Drosophila melanogaster: one gene and its partners. The protein of the gene in region 1 interacts with the protein of each later gene in a pairwise test. Each region holds a gene or a part of one and is shown on either strand. Other genes may lie near its edges.

The links.
Region 2: the proteins of Fhos (region 1) and CG11905 interact in a two-hybrid assay, tested with the Drosophila melanogaster proteins (one large-scale study listed by BioGRID).
Region 3: the proteins of Fhos (region 1) and fan interact in a two-hybrid assay, tested with the Drosophila melanogaster proteins (one large-scale study listed by BioGRID).

Annotation. Positions count from the first base shown.
Region 1 is NT_037436.4:8,751,539-8,756,662, reverse strand, and holds the start of Fhos (formin homology 2 domain containing), read right to left. Parts: upstream 3,045-5,124; 5' UTR 2,189-3,044; coding exon 2,168-2,188; intron 675-2,167; exon of another isoform or gene 481-674; coding exon of another isoform or gene 1-480. Other genes in the region: CG6576 (uncharacterized protein), read right to left, coding at 1-480.
Region 2 is NT_037436.4:16,930,581-16,937,349, forward strand, and holds CG11905 (uncharacterized protein), read right to left. Parts: upstream 4,957-6,769; 5' UTR 4,908-4,956; exon of another isoform or gene 4,726-4,907; 5' UTR 4,629-4,725; coding exon 4,614-4,628; intron 2,781-4,613; coding exon 2,713-2,780; intron 2,432-2,712; coding exon 691-2,431; 3' UTR 592-690; downstream 1-591.
Region 3 is NT_037436.4:8,107,156-8,110,627, reverse strand, and holds fan (farinelli), read right to left. Parts: upstream 1,497-3,472; 5' UTR 1,351-1,496; coding exon 694-1,350; 3' UTR 585-693; downstream 1-584. Other genes in the region: Nulp1 (nuclear localized protein 1), read right to left, coding at 1-129; Sarm (sterile alpha and armadillo motif), read right to left, coding at 1,905-1,989.

The DNA of each region.
Region 1 (5,124 bases):
GGTTAGATCCTCACCAAAGACCAGCTGCGTGGCGCCCGGATCCGTTTGCGTAGTCCTCATGGCGGCCAGCAGCCCAATGATCCCAAATTGATCTGACAGCATCGTGGCCGGAATATTAGTGAATTTCCCATCGTCTGTACTACGTATTCCCGCGGCATTTGTGTTCGTTGAGGAGGAGGTAGATGCCACCTCGGGCTCCTGCAACACTGATTCATAAGAGGGCTGACCAAAAAGATCAGCAAACGTGGGCATCGACGGCTGGCGATCGTAGAGTTCCGGGAAGAGTTTGTAATCCGATTCGATTTCAGATTCTACGCTCGAAGTGCTGACGACTTCCGGTGGCTCTTCGCTGGGCGGATCCGGCAAGGGCGGTGGACGTTGTGGCTCTACCTTTTCTGCACTGGGTGCAGTCTCCTGTTTCTTCTTTCTCAGCGCTATCGAGGGATTCACCTTACATCGTGGACGTCGACGCCGTGTCATTTTTTATCTTTTTATCAAAAAATGTCCTTGACTTGTGTCTGTGTTCGAGTGTTGTGGGGGGCTTGGGTGGCAGTTGGGTGGACGGGTGAGTGTGCGTGGATAATCTCGGACTCAGATAGCTTGATTCATAAATCCTTATCTCGAAGCCTATTTGAGAAGCGCCTATCACCGCCTTCCTTTGTGCTACACTACAACAAATTTTGATCTGTTTTGATGAATAATTCAAATGAAAACTGATTGTGATCGCATTGTGTGTGACGAGTAGAGATATTTCTAATGAAATCAATAATCGAAACAATGTTTAATCATTACCGCTTTCGCTAATACATTATGAATATAAATTTAGTTATATGATAATATATACTTATTTTTTTTGAATATGAAGTTAAAAGCTTTAGTTATATTTGCAACTTTATTGTTTCTCCATTACCGTTCCCCTACTTTCTCCCCTCACAAACAAATTGCATGAGTATTCACACTTTGTTAATTAATTAGGTGGTGCGTGCTCTCACCGGAGAACTTTCAACTTTATGCTTGTCATAAATATTTACAACTTCCTTCTGGCCATAAAAATCCTACACAAAGTACCAACTCCAATGAGGAAAAAAGAGACTGCGTCAACGTGAACGAAACAGAAATCATTTTGCTTTACTCCCAACATTTTTAGAAACATTCTATATATAATTGGAGAAATGACTCGGGAGAAGATGAAGTGGTAGATGTGCGTGGGATGGGGTGGAAACTTGTTGTTTGCCGCCCATAAATTGATCAGTTTATTAGATTCTAAGACCCGAAAAATATTTAATTGATTTATGCTCAATGAGTCAAAAGTCAGGCTAAAGTCATAAACTGGATGCCTGGGAACAAAAGGATATAATGAGTTGAACATAAAGGGGATTAGTAGAAAGCGATTTGGAAGTTTGGGAATGACAACCGAAATTAAGTGTATTTATATTATAGGATAGATATAGAAATAATGCACTTTTTATATAAAAGTTCACAAGTATCACATGATGTCGAACGGGTTAATAATATAAATAAATATGATGATAAGTTCAATAAATAACACAAAATGTTTACTTGGGAACTGTCAGTCATTGGTCAGTATCAATAATGAATCTGCCATAAAGTATGTCAAATAACTCAAAATTAATTCCTTTGACAACTGTGCATATACGCAAATACTAACATAAATCAAGTTAAATAGGTTTAAAATTCGGAACTTAACCTGCTTTGCCAAAGTAAAAGCCATTTATTCATGCATTGGTTTGCTATTCAAACACAACAATTCGTTCATTCAGTAGCCACACCTCGGCCATAATTTGTGCTATTTGTGTGGATAGGAAATTAGAACAATCAACTAGACACAAATCCCAACCAAAAAACCAGACAATGAGCAAATTTGTATCTAAATTGTTTATCAATGGATCTGGAGCCCACACCACATCGAGAGCGAACATTCAGATACATTTTATCTGCCATATAAAACGTATACGTATGTATCTGCGAAATACTCTTGTGTGTGGGGTAAGGCAACAAATTAGAAATAAACAAAATCCGTGGATGCGAAGAATTGCAAAAAGGCACAGAGCGAAGATACAAAGATCGAGATACACACTATATAGTACGAGTAGGTATTATGCAGATACAGATACGGATAGTTGGCGCTGCATTAACTAGTACTTACATAACTGCGGTAGGACGACATTACGTTGCTCTTGGCAAGCGATCCTCGATCGCAGATCGGATCAAAATTCGGTCACAATGTATGTTTATCGCCCTTTCAAAATTGGTGTATAATTTATTTTGGTATGGCCTGGGTTTGGTAATCCAATCTGGCAAACACTCGCGCGAGATCGAAACGGAGGAACTCGAACCGCTGACGACAATTACGAAAACGTATCTGCCGGATGCCGACTCTCAATTGCAATAGATGCAAAATAAATTAGATGCACTTACTGAAATCGCGCGCGTGCGACAAATTTCTACGACACTCTCTCTGCATTCCCCTATTTTATTCAATTTTATTTTATTGTATTTATTTCTTTTCTGCTAAGTAAACTATTATTTCCTTTGCTTTTATTTGCGCTGGGCGATACTCCGAGATCGGTATCGGGATCGGCCGTGTGTCACTTTACATAATCCACCGGCACGCACCGGGCAGGTTTGGGATATATACTGTCGATGCCTATAGGGCATACGAGCAGATATAGACTATAGCGCCCCGATCTATTTGGGAATGCAGCCGGCGAATGCGACAGAATCGGACGCGAGGCTCGCGCTTTATTTATGCGTTGATATTTTTCTTATTTTTCTTATTTTTTCCTATTTTCCCATTTTCCATCGCCTGCGTTTTCCGTTTCACGACGACGGACGCGTATCACTTTTGCTTTTATTTCAATTTACTTTGGGAGCAGCACAACTTAAGCTGTTATTTATAAATTTAGCAACATTCACACACTCGCTGAAAGATTGTGTCGCGATTTTTGTTTTTAGTTCTCGGTTCTTTTTGTTGGACCACAGCGAATCCGGCCGAGAGGAAAATCATGTGCGACTCGGCGCGTTGTCAAAGGAAAACTGTCTGGCCGCAGTGAAAATATTTTTGTGCCGAGATTTTCCCTCGCACCGAATTGCGTGAAAAGCTGAGTGGAGGAAAATCTCCGGCGCTCTCGCTTTGAGTATGCGTGTATTTTCGGCAAGCGAGAGATTCGATCGGAGATGAAGCTCTCGGAGATTCTGCCGGCTCTCCTCAGTCGGCGATCGCATTCGTAAATTGCAATCGAGAAACAAATAAATGTTTTAAACATACCCTGAATGAGGGTATCATTATTAGTTCCAGCATAACTTTAAGGATTTCGACAGATCCTTTGTACGGACAATTCATTCCGATTCTCTCTTGAACGGACAAGCATTTTTCTGGGTCGTGCTAAACGGACAAGTAAAATATAAAATATAACAAAACAACCTAATTATTACAATAGAACTAAAAGTAAATTAACGAAATAATATGTATTTCTAAAATTAACTACTTAGAGCATTTGAAATTAAGTTTTACAAGAGTTCGAAATACATTGTGCAACTTTTGGCCACAAAGAAAACCATAGTCATAACAAAGAGCATTTAAGGCTTCGTGTCTTCATTGATTCATCGTTTCTTATTCCCGTGTGTATCTGGTCCCCATATATATCTGACATAAATCGGCCAACCGGCTATATGTGCCAGCTTCTCGATTTCAATTATCGCAATGTAAGGAAATGCGTAAAAATTCTTGTAATGCTAACAAAATGCAACTCTAAAATATTCGACATCTATTTAGGCTGCTTCATTCCGTCGTAGCTATTTCGGTCTATTATAAGTCGAATAATTTTATTTAATTATTTTTGGCATCGCTGACTAATCGATGAGTGGGATACTAATCGAGGGCGGGGAGCATGGGGTATCCAGCAAGTGACACAAAAAGTATGTATGATGCAAACAATAATTGTCACCTACAGATACAGATGTGGTCTGTCATGTTCTCATGAATGAAAGACAGCGAAAGGCAGGCCAAAGATCCCGAGGGTCTACAACCTGAAGAATAATTCCCTTGGATTATTATCTTTAGAATGAAAAACGCGAATGAAAAATTACTCTCAACTTAAGAAATGAACTTTCCTATGAGTTTTATTTAAGATCTTTTGCAATGGAGCCTTTTAATTTCTCCCACCAAATAAGATTCGTTTATATCTGTATTTTCTTAAATCATGAAACACCCTTACTTATTTACTTACCCTCTGCTCCGTGCATTCATTATTCGGTTAATTTGTGTATCAAAGAATGGCCGGGGAAACTATCACAGATATCATGCAGAAGACAACGACACATATCGCATATTTGTTCTGGTTTTAAAAATAAAAATCTTTGTGCCACTTTTGCAGTTGCCACTGCTGTTGCCGGCAGTCACCGGAAACGTGCGGCTAAAAAGATGACGTCTAAATACGAAATAAAACTGGCATTCGTTTCGGTTTTACTTAAGACATTTAAACTAAATATGCGCAAAATGCCAAAAAGCATGCGAGTGAAATAGAATGCTTGCGCCATAAATCAGACAAAGATGCTCTAAATTAATAGAGAAGAAAGGGCGTGGAGTGGAAAAGCCAAAGCCAAAGGCATCGGCATCAATGGGCTAATAGCTAGCCCCCTGGCAAAGTGGCTCGACACTTTGACGAAAGACACGCAGGGGCGGCGTCTTAGTCTTAACCCAATCTGACCGACAGATACAAATAGCTTTCAGCGCTGCATTAAAAAATATAAAAGATCCACAACAGGCGCGTGCATTTCGCATGCTTTCCACAAATATTTTCCCAGTGCGTGCTGCCGCCGGAGACGCCAACGCAACCCAGAAAAAACGCTGCAAACGCTAAAAACTGAAAACCGAAAACTGAAAAGCTGAATGCAAACAAATCAAGAGGAACGAATGGTGGCGGTGGAAAACTAGAAACGGATTTTGGGCAGGCAATAAAAAGAAATACACCGACGGCCATAAAAGTCAGACCCGGCAATCCCCGGGAGCAACGGCGAGGTGCACCACGCAGTCGGTCAATCATGCTGGCCCATGCCAACCCCGTTTCCCAGTCGCTCATCTGCAGAGAGAGAAAAAAGCAA
Region 2 (6,769 bases), 8.2 Mb from region 1:
GGTTTATTTTGCTGACCGCTGAGCGGAGACCCACATCACTCTTCAGATCCCCAGTGGTTCGGGTCTTCACTGCAGGCAGAGCCTGTAGCTTTTCTGGTTTCTCCAACTCGCTGGAGCTGTCATCAGCTAAGCTTTCGGGTCGGCCAGTTGTGGTAGTGGTCGTTGTGGTTGTTGCACTGGCTATGGTGGCTTGATCGGCACTGGCGATGGTGGGTTGCACCACATAGGCCAGGGGCAGATTGTAGGCGGCGTAGTATGGGGCACTGAACAGCACGGGTTGATAGGCTCCATAGGGCGTGAGGTCCTGGGCCGGAGCAGATCCTGCAATGAGTTTTCCGGACTTCTCTGCGACGGGTGCTCCTGGTGGCCAGGCCTCGATATTGGTTGTGCGCCAGTAGGCACTTGAGTTAGGATAGTTTTTGGTTTAGGAAGAGTGGGATAGAGGAAAATGGTGAAGAGAACCGCCGGTTAGTCGTATATTATTTACAGCAATAATTCGAGGGGTTAAACTGTGTCGGGTTAATATCATGCGGAATAAGTGTGATATCTAAAACTACTATGTACAAGATGAAAGCAAAAGCCCAAACAATTACGAAATACAAATATTTATTAGAACACTAGACAATACCAACTATGGATCCTAACTAAATGTGCTAAATAATAGCTATTAGGTTTAAGCCTCGAACTGGATTAGGACTCGAACTGGCCCGTCTCCAGCCCCGCCCCCTGATCCGCCTCCATGGTTGTTGTGCCCGTGGGTGGAGCATAGTAGACCGTTGGTCCTGTAGCCACTATCTTTCCCTCTCGCGGAAAACTTCTCGTCTCCAGATCGGTGCGTGCCAGGGCATCTTTAAGGTCCACATCTGCCGGTATGGAGATCACCTTGGCCCCGGGACCGGCGATGGTGAGACTCCGTGGATGGGTGAGAGCATAGCCACCGGGACCAACAATCGCCGTTCCTCCGCTGCCCGCCGTGGCCACGCCCCCGGGTCCTGCGATAGCGATGCCGCCCCTGCGAACCTTTAGCCGCTGAATGATGATTCCTCCTTCGCGCAATGCCTGCTTTTGGGTGCTTTCCTGAGCGGTGGCCACCTGGCTCACAGTGTGCATCAGGTGATGGCCCTTGTGAGCAAACAAGTGCTTCTCTGAGGAGGCACTGTTGTCCAGTTCCGCGGCTGTGTTCTCAATGGTATCCACATCATCGGCCATCCCATCGCCGGCGCCCTCGTTTTCATCCTCCCATTTATAATCCATCGAATCGATTGAGTGATTCTTCACAGGAACATTGCCAACAACCACAGGACCTTCTCCAGCTGTGGCCGCCATTGGAGGTCGGAAGGGGAGCTTGAAAATGTTTTGAAAGGCATTCTTGATGGCAGTCGAGGTCTGATTCTGCATCTCAGCTATATTCATTCCGGGCATGCGGAATGGACTTAAGCGATTCCGATTGGGCAGCAAGCCACCAGATGGTGGTAAAGTAGAACTCAACAGGACAGGCGCAGATGTAGCCTTGATATTAAGGGATGTGGATCCCTGGTAGATTTGCTGTTCAGCATCCTTTCCACTCAAGCGAACGGGTTTCGCTGTGGAACCAACCTTCTTTCTGTTCAAAGAATTTAATTCCGGTGACGAAGTGGGCTGAATCTTCTGTGGCTTATGCACGGGCTTCTCGCGGGAGTCCAAACGATATTCCTTGAAGTTCACAGGCACTGGAGCCTTTGTGGTGGTCGTACCAATGGTGGTGGAATTACCCCTTTTTGGGGTGCCATCTTCATTGAGAGCCAGTTCTCGGGGCAGGAAGAACAGGTGATACTTGGGCGTCGTCTTGCCCTGTTTTCTTCCAGCCTTCGCCTTGCCATAGAAGCTGTCCACATCGCCAATGATTTTGTATCCCTTTATCTTGTATTCCTGCGAGGCGTGCTCCTTGAGATACTCCTCCTTATTGAGTTTGTACAGGTGCACGGGCACCACAAAGTGGGCGGGCAGCTGCTGTGCTTCTTGTTCGGAACTCGGCTTCGGTACCTCCACCTGTTTGGGTCGGAAGTAGAGTTGCGCTTTCTTCTCCTCCTTGGAGGTGCTCTCAATTGCCTGGCGCAACCTGGGAGGCACATTGTAACTGCCCGCCACATTTCTTGTGAGTTTCACCGCCCTAATTGAGGGTTCTAACAAGGTCTGACCATTACTTCCCGAGAAGTGGTGCTGATGGGCGTGAAATGGCTGATGGGCGGGCTTGGGGAACAGGTATTGACTGGAATCAAGGATCGGTGGCAGCTTGGGCTGCTCCGGCTGCTTCTTCACGTAGCCAAAGGCCTCGTTAACCTTGGCTATCTGCTCGAGGATGCGCTTGGCCTCGTCCGCCTTTTCCGAGGACGGAGTGGCCGCATTGGGCTCAAAGTCCTCGGGAAATTTGACCAGCCGCTGCTTCTGAATTCTGCAAACGAAAGGTGGGGTTTGTTTGGTGGTCTCTATCTGTTGGTGGAGTTAGCTTCTAGTTGCTAATGCAGGGTAATGTGTTGTTGGGTGGAGGGAAATGAGTTTTGAGGGTTAGTCACAAGTCTGGGCTTTTTTCGGTTTAGTCACATAGTTCTAGGCAAGCGCATCAACTTCTACTTGGAATGAGCATTAGCGTTGACACAGTCACATTTGGCAGGCAAGGCATTTCATGGTTATTTGGGGTCTTAGGGCTGGGTAACTAGCTACTAGTCTACTTACTCGACGGCCAGTCCACCGTGCTGTTGAGCCTGGCCAAGTGCCAAAGAGGCCAGAAGCAGTGTTGAGAGCTGAAAGACAAATGTGTGACAATAGATGAATGAGATCTATGATTTATGCCGGTTAGATAGGGTGTCTGTATTCTGATGTCGTAATGGATACAAAATTCACACGTGTGGAATGCGGTCAAGTCCCGAAAGTCGCGAAAGTCTCTCTCTCCCTGCTCCTCCAGCACATTTGCATAATTTCTTTCGCTGCTGAAAGCTACGCCGAAAAGTGAGAGCCAGGTGGCAAGGAACGGCTTATGTACTTGACGGATTTTCCCTCGAATACGATTGTCAAGAACCTCACGATCGGCAAATATTTGACTCACTCTCGCCGGCTCTCCACATCTTTGGCAAAGTCAATATTGACGCAACCGTTAGCCGGTGGAAACGACCAGCCCGCACGCCTATCTATCAGCGCCGAAATGTCACAAAGCCGAGAGGAACTGAGACCAAAAGCCAAAACCAAAGCTGGATTCGAAGTCGAGGCTCGTGTTGTGTCATTGACCTGAACCTCTAGGCGGCTGTTACGATTTCGGTGCCGAAACGTAACTCGAGAGAAGAGATTCTGGCGCAGAGGCTGTCGAACCTGGTTGCCATTGATTTGCAAGAACTCTTGCATCCCCAAGCAGTAAGATGTATTTCTGTCTGCTTTCTTTTGTGTATTTCGCCTTATTTATTATATTGCCCTCACATAACGATGCCGATTCGACCCCATATCAGGTGTGTCTTGTCCAAAAATAAACTGGGTTAATGGCTCGAATGCAAAGTTTAAGCGCAGCATTTTATGTTCTCAAACAAGTTATAAATGAGTCTGTCTCCTGATCTTCACATCCGATCAGGTGTCTTTTGGTCTTAAATGATATTCCAGAGCCATTCCAATGCAGCTAATTGAGCAGGGATTGATGGACTTGGGACGTGTGGCTAACTGTCTACACTCATAAATTGATTAATTTATGAACCACTATCGAAACGATCACAAACTCGAAAACAAACCAGTGCACTTATAGTTAAGAACCCCACACAAATGTGACCGATTGTTTGATAGTTGGGAGGGGGAAAAGAAGACTTATATTACCATTTGTTAGCCCACGCATGATTTTTATACGTTTGCGGCATATTAATTTTATGTTCTTTGAGTCATAATTATTTTTTGGGCTTTTCAACCCAAGTGGTTGTATTGGTTGTGGTTATAATTGAATGGCATTGTTGCTTATGGGAGTCGCTGTAGAGTTTTGACTTTTAAGGGCATGCTTTTCATAATGGGAATATGAATAATGCAAGGAACAATACTTCCTAGGTATGAATGATTAATTCTCACTTTTTAAATTGGGGTGGGGCTAGAATATTGTCACGTTCAAATGGAATGGACAAAAGGGTTTCACTTTTCAGAAAGAATTAACTCTTTTGAAAAACCTTTACTAAGTGAACAATAACTGGCACAAAGAAGTCTTAACCTTTTGCATTCATATAAAAAAAAGTTTCCCCAATATAGTTCTTTGCGTCCAAATTGATTTGTGATTATTATAAACCCCAAAAAGATTTTAGGCACTCTTATTAATATTTGCATATGGCACAGAGCATAATTAAGGCTAATTAAGGCGATCAAAAAAAGGAAAGAACCAAGCCAAGAATCAAAAAAGTCGCTTAGTGAAAGTTAGTGTCGATTCAGAAGTGAAAGAAACAAAAGACTTAAGGCACGAACTTGGGCCAGTTGACGAGTTAATGAGTTCAGCGGCAGCACAGAGCAATAAATGATTAATTGCGGTCAGGTATAAACTAGTTTCGTTTTGTATTCCCAAAATGTGAAGTTAAGTCATTCATGGTATTTAATTTTCTTTTTTATGCGATTTGACTTACAACAAGAAAGCGCATTTTAACGCGAGGTTCTGGTGAATAGTTTCAGATTTTTCAATAAATGCTTGGTGTTCGTGGCGTTGACCAATCCTCGCCTTGACAATATATCCTTGAACTGCAAACGAGAACGGGAATGAGTGGCACTCTGGGTTATCACGCGGCAAAATCACACACACTAAAAGCACTATAAAACCAATCCTGCTGAGCTTTCAATTTACGATTGTTTCAGGTTCCGTTGTTTTTCTTTCTTTTTTTTTGTCACGCACAATAAATAGGGTCTGGAAATGGAACTCCTACCAAGAACCAAGAGCCAGCGAGCCAGGCGACGTCTGAAGATGAACTGAGTGCTGGCCGGGCCCAGCGCGTCTGTTTATAACATTTCCATTAGCGATGCAAACGACGAAGCGAAAGAAATGGCCAAGAAAACAGGGCCCGATCAGGTGTAAGAGAACTGGGTTTTGGGCAGAAGAGAGAGTCGAAGAGAAGACCGCGATTCGGGCACGTAGTCGAGCGCCTTGGCCTGGCTTTTATCTGGGGGCGTGGATCTGTGGGATTTGGTTACCAGCTCCAGGGTACACAACACCAATTGATATGCAGGCTTACAACTCTAGGATTTCGCAGATCGAAATCTTCCCCGATCCCTTGGGTTAGGCAAATAGTTTGCCTAACATATTGTCAGATATTTCTCAAGCATTTGATTAAATGTGCTGACAGTCGCTTCTTCAGTCTACTGTTTCGCAAACTCGCACCTAGCAAGAACACAGAATCACAGCGCTGACTTTGATTAATTGGCCGTTTATTGGCTTGATTGAGTGTGACTGGACAGGAGCGAAGTGACTGGCCATTACAAGTGGAGTGAGCCACGAGAATAGAAGCGAAATGCGTGTGGGAAGTGGAAAGGTAATCAGCTCGGAACGGGCCCAGAACATGACATAAGCCAAAATGGTAAGAGACTTACCGTGATGAAAGAATCGATTCGTTGCCGGGCAATTCAATTAAAATGTTTGCCTGGAACTCGTTAGAAAGTTTCGCACATAGTGACTCAAGAGTCATGTTCTTTTTTTTTTTTTTTGATTTGACAAGCACTTCGGCGTGAAGACTTCACACACTTCTCGGGTATCAACAGATGTCAGGATTAAGACTTAGCTTCGGACCGTTTTTGATCGATAATCATGAATAACAAATGTCTGAAATCAGAGAAATTGATTTCAGGTTCGTGCCTTAAGTCATTTGTTTTCATTGCAGACCAGTCTTTATTAGCCCAGAACCATTAATTTTGTGATTAACTTTGCTGTGATACAACTGCAATTTATTCTTTTATTGGCTTTTATGCCCCGAGCAGCCAGCTACTGACTGCGCTGTGAAATAATGCATATTCCTTGATTAAGCAGCATCGAACGGGGGGTCGACCTTTGTGGCACACGCAGGCATCAATAAAATTGCCACAAGATTTATGGTTTCGAGTGCGCAGAGCCGAAGGGAGCATACGAAATTAGCAGCAACACGTTGTAAGCCCCGAATGCGCCACACGCACCACTTGATCCACAATTGGAATGCAGCAATCAAAAGGCGATAAATCGAACCCCAACTGAAATCCAAGCAGCCGAAGAGCGAGTCGAGAAGTTGAAGACCGAAGACCGAAGACCGAAGACCCAAGACCCAGAGACCTTGGGGCCTATTTATAAATGCAGGCGAAACGGGACTGCTAGTGGGATGTCGTTGCCTAGGCCCGGGCCAATTAAGTCTGACCTTCGGCGAGGAGGAGAATCCCAGCCCAAACCGTTGTTTATGAGGGGGAAAATAAACAGAAACAGCTAACTGGCACCTGGGAGAGCCGGAGCCCCAGTAATTTGTGGTTTCAATGCAGGCCGTTCTGCTGCTACGCTAACCCAATTATGCACCTCGGCTACTTCCCAGGTGAGCCATTGATTTCTACGCTGAGAACGTGGCCATTTCAGCCATACAAACCCTAGACCCGGCCGAATAGAATCTATGTCAAGCTATGGCAAGCTTTTTAGTGCTCTTCTGTACGTTCTTTTAGTGCATTCGGCGAAGAAAGTTTTCGAGTGCGTAGGAACTTGTTTCAGGGAAATCACTCGCTTAGATCTCTTGACATTAAAACTTAATTGTGGCAGTGAAACTTTCGGTCAAAACTGGCC
Region 3 (3,472 bases), 640 kb from region 1:
TCGATAGCGTTGCATATCGCTGTCCTCCAGTTCATCATTGTCGCTCAGCTCCTCGCAGTCCTCGTCATCGGGCGGTGGCGCCAGCTTGTCAGCGTCGCCCTGCAGCTTCTTCAGCATTCGCGCAGACATCCTTCAAGTGTCCTTATACCCCTTAGCAGGAATTCTATTTAATTTCGTCGCAAAATACGTGTGTATTTCGCTGTTTTTTTTTTCTTCACCACATTCGCTTTCGCACGGCTGCAGGGTTGCCGAGCTCTGTGGCCACGCGCGCTTCACAGCACTGGCCTAGACAGGTGGTCCCGTCTTGGCGGGAATTGAAAAAGAAGTTCTAAATTTTAGCAAGTGCTATACACCTATACGCCTTGCCTGTAGAAGTTGGATCAAACTTGACGTGTTATTCACAGAAATTTTAATAAGTTTACTTTTTGTCTCTTCATAAAGTGAAATAGGAAAAAGCATTTTAAATTGTTTTGAAAAAATTTATTTTTATTCGACATTTCCTATTTTAAACTTATTTACTTCTAGTAAAGTGAGAATATAACATCTTACGCATTTATTGGTATACAAGCATAAACTAATTATCTATCTCAAAATAGAATATGCAACCAAAATGTCCTTTATTGACAAATAATTTTCGTACAATTTCGGTGCAATTTACTGCCTTATGTTCTAAAAACTGCCATGATAAGGAATTTACAAACGAGTCTTGCCATAATAGGCGCCTGCGACAGCGGACAGTATAATGATTACTATGGCGGCCATGTAGAAGAAAGTGCGCCCAATCGCCTGGTCACGCAAGCCGTCGATCTGGTCTGTGAGGGCCATATGCTCGTCCTCCAGCATGCTGACTTGCTTGAGCAACTTGGCCATTGGCTCACTGACTTCCTGGGCATCAAAATGGACCTCTCCGTCCTTGTTGTCCGTGGATATTACAGCTGAACCTCCCGCCTGACGGAAATCGTCCTCCTTCGAAGGGACTAGCTCACATTTGATCTTGGTTTCCCGAGTTTCATTCGGGTTCTGCATCTTCCAAAACTCCTGCACATCGCTTATGTCACCAGTCACCTCGGCGGCCAGGAGAAGGAACTTATGACGCTTCTTTATCTGCTCCTGCAGAATTGGCTGCATGAATATGTCAACGCTGACCTTCTGCTCGGGCCCCAAGACACCGATGTTGGGGCGTACATAAAAAAGTTTTGGAGTGGTGGTCTTCATCTTGAAGGCCATTCGCTGGGTCTTACTGGTGTTCTTGATGACTAGCTTCCTGCTCACCGAGCGGTTGAATGGTCCCTCAAAGACGATCACATCGCACGGGTCTAGCGCAAGTTTGCTCTCGGTATTGTCGGACATATTGGAATATTTGTACCTTTTTATTTTTCAAAAAATCGGAAGCGATATGAACTGGAACCGATTATGACCAATATATGAAAAAATGTGGTACCAAATGAACACGTTCCCTGACAATGCCGTAGTGCAAATGACAGAAAAAGGAATGTGAAACTTTCCATTTCAGGGCTGAATTGAGTTCACATATTGCTTGATTTCGTATGAATTCAACTTTTCTGGTGTGGACACACTGGTCGGTTTTGAAAGTCATATGCGCAGCATCACTATTATAGATTGCAGCTATTAGCTTATGTTGCTTAAAGGAATGTCTTAAAAGCTATATTTTAGGCTAATTTCATAAATTATATACAAACCTGTCTTTAAATAATGTTCAAAAACTTTTTAGAACTTTTGCAAATTGTAGTTTTTTGTATTTGTAAGTTCAAGATGTTTAGATAACAACATGATTTCGAGTTTCAGATCGTTCGTTTTATTTGTTTTTTGTTTTATTAAATATTTACAAAAATTCGATACGTTTGTGTGACTGAATGTGTGTCAGGTGGGGGATGGTCCATCATTTACCAAAATATCATGCGCCCGGCATTGGGGGAGGTGGCCTTGGACAGAATGATGCCCGAAAGTTCCTCGTCCTCCATTTCGTTGCTGTTTCGAGTGGGAGGAGGTATGGGTAAGATACAAATTAAAAAATGTTTGACAGGACTCTTTCGATTTATGCAATTATATACACGTTTATTGGTATCGCTATTTGCTTTGATTGCTTTCTTTCTTTTTTTTGTTGCTTGCTTGGTAATAAATAACAATGAATGTTGGTTGTCGAGACGGCGGATGCTGAGTGTAGGCATCGTATTAATCTCACGGTGTGCGATGATGGGTTTTTCGAAATCGAAATCGATTCGATTTGGTGGGTGGGTGCTTTTGTGGGCGGGGGCAGTACAACAGGCACAACGATAACAACAGTTACAACGGATTGCGGTAGCCAATTTCGCTTTTATGGTCTACAAAAAAGTCCGGATATAGAGAAAGAAAGAGGGAAGAAATAAAAGTGATAAGATATATACAAATAAAACATTTCGAATTCCATTAAAGGCACAAACACAAATTCAAATGCAGAACGCAATACAAACATTGAACAAAACGTATAATATCGGTACATGCGATTGATGATATAGTATGGACTGATTAAGCAGGGGAACAGGGCTAAATAGGGCCAATAATACACATTTAGTTTGAATTAAGTCACATTTTATTTCCTTTTTTTTTTGTATGTATTTCGATTTTTTCGGCTTTCGTATTTAACTTTAGGCACTATTTAAATATTAAATATATATTGCAAAAATCAATAAAAATATGCCTTAAAAACTCCTGCGCTAAAAATTAGGTTTGTACAGCATGTTTTGTTGTAAAAATTTTGCATTAAGTAAATTTCGATTATACGTAGTTTAAATATCACTTATGTAAATATTTTCGTTTTAAGCCACACGGGTTAATTTTAAATTTTGCAATTTTTAGTTTACGTTTTGCGGACGGTTACAAGAACATGTTGCATTCGCGAAAAATGTACAAATTTTTAAACATATTATTTATAAATAGCATTTTAAATATAGAGTGTTTTCGCTCTCCAATATATTTTTGTTTCTTGTAGTGTTTAGAATTAGATGGTTTCTGTTTTGTGTTCTATAAATTAGGTTTCGTATTTATGCAGTCGTTAATTGTATTTTTCTTTTCATAAATTAGTTTTCGCAATTTAAATTCGCTTACTTATTTTTCAATAAAAAAATAATTATCAAAATCAACAACTAATCACAAGGCAAATAGAGTTTGAAGATATAGAAATTGGCGGGGGAGGGGCGTTCGTATATATTTTTTGGGCAACGCAGGCGAGTTTTAGTGGATGCTTAGCGAAACGAGTCAACGAGTGGCGAGTAAAAATAGCGAACGAGTACCAACACCAGAGAAAGAGAAGTAGAGTCAGCGAGTGGAGGTAGAAAGGTTGTAAGGGTCCCCAGGGGGTGGATGAATGCGTGATTGGATGAGATTCTTTTTAGATGGCACAAATGCAGCGAGTGGCGAGAAACGGGTTAACAGGCACTTAGTGGGCGATTGGCGAGTAACTAGAAGCACCTTT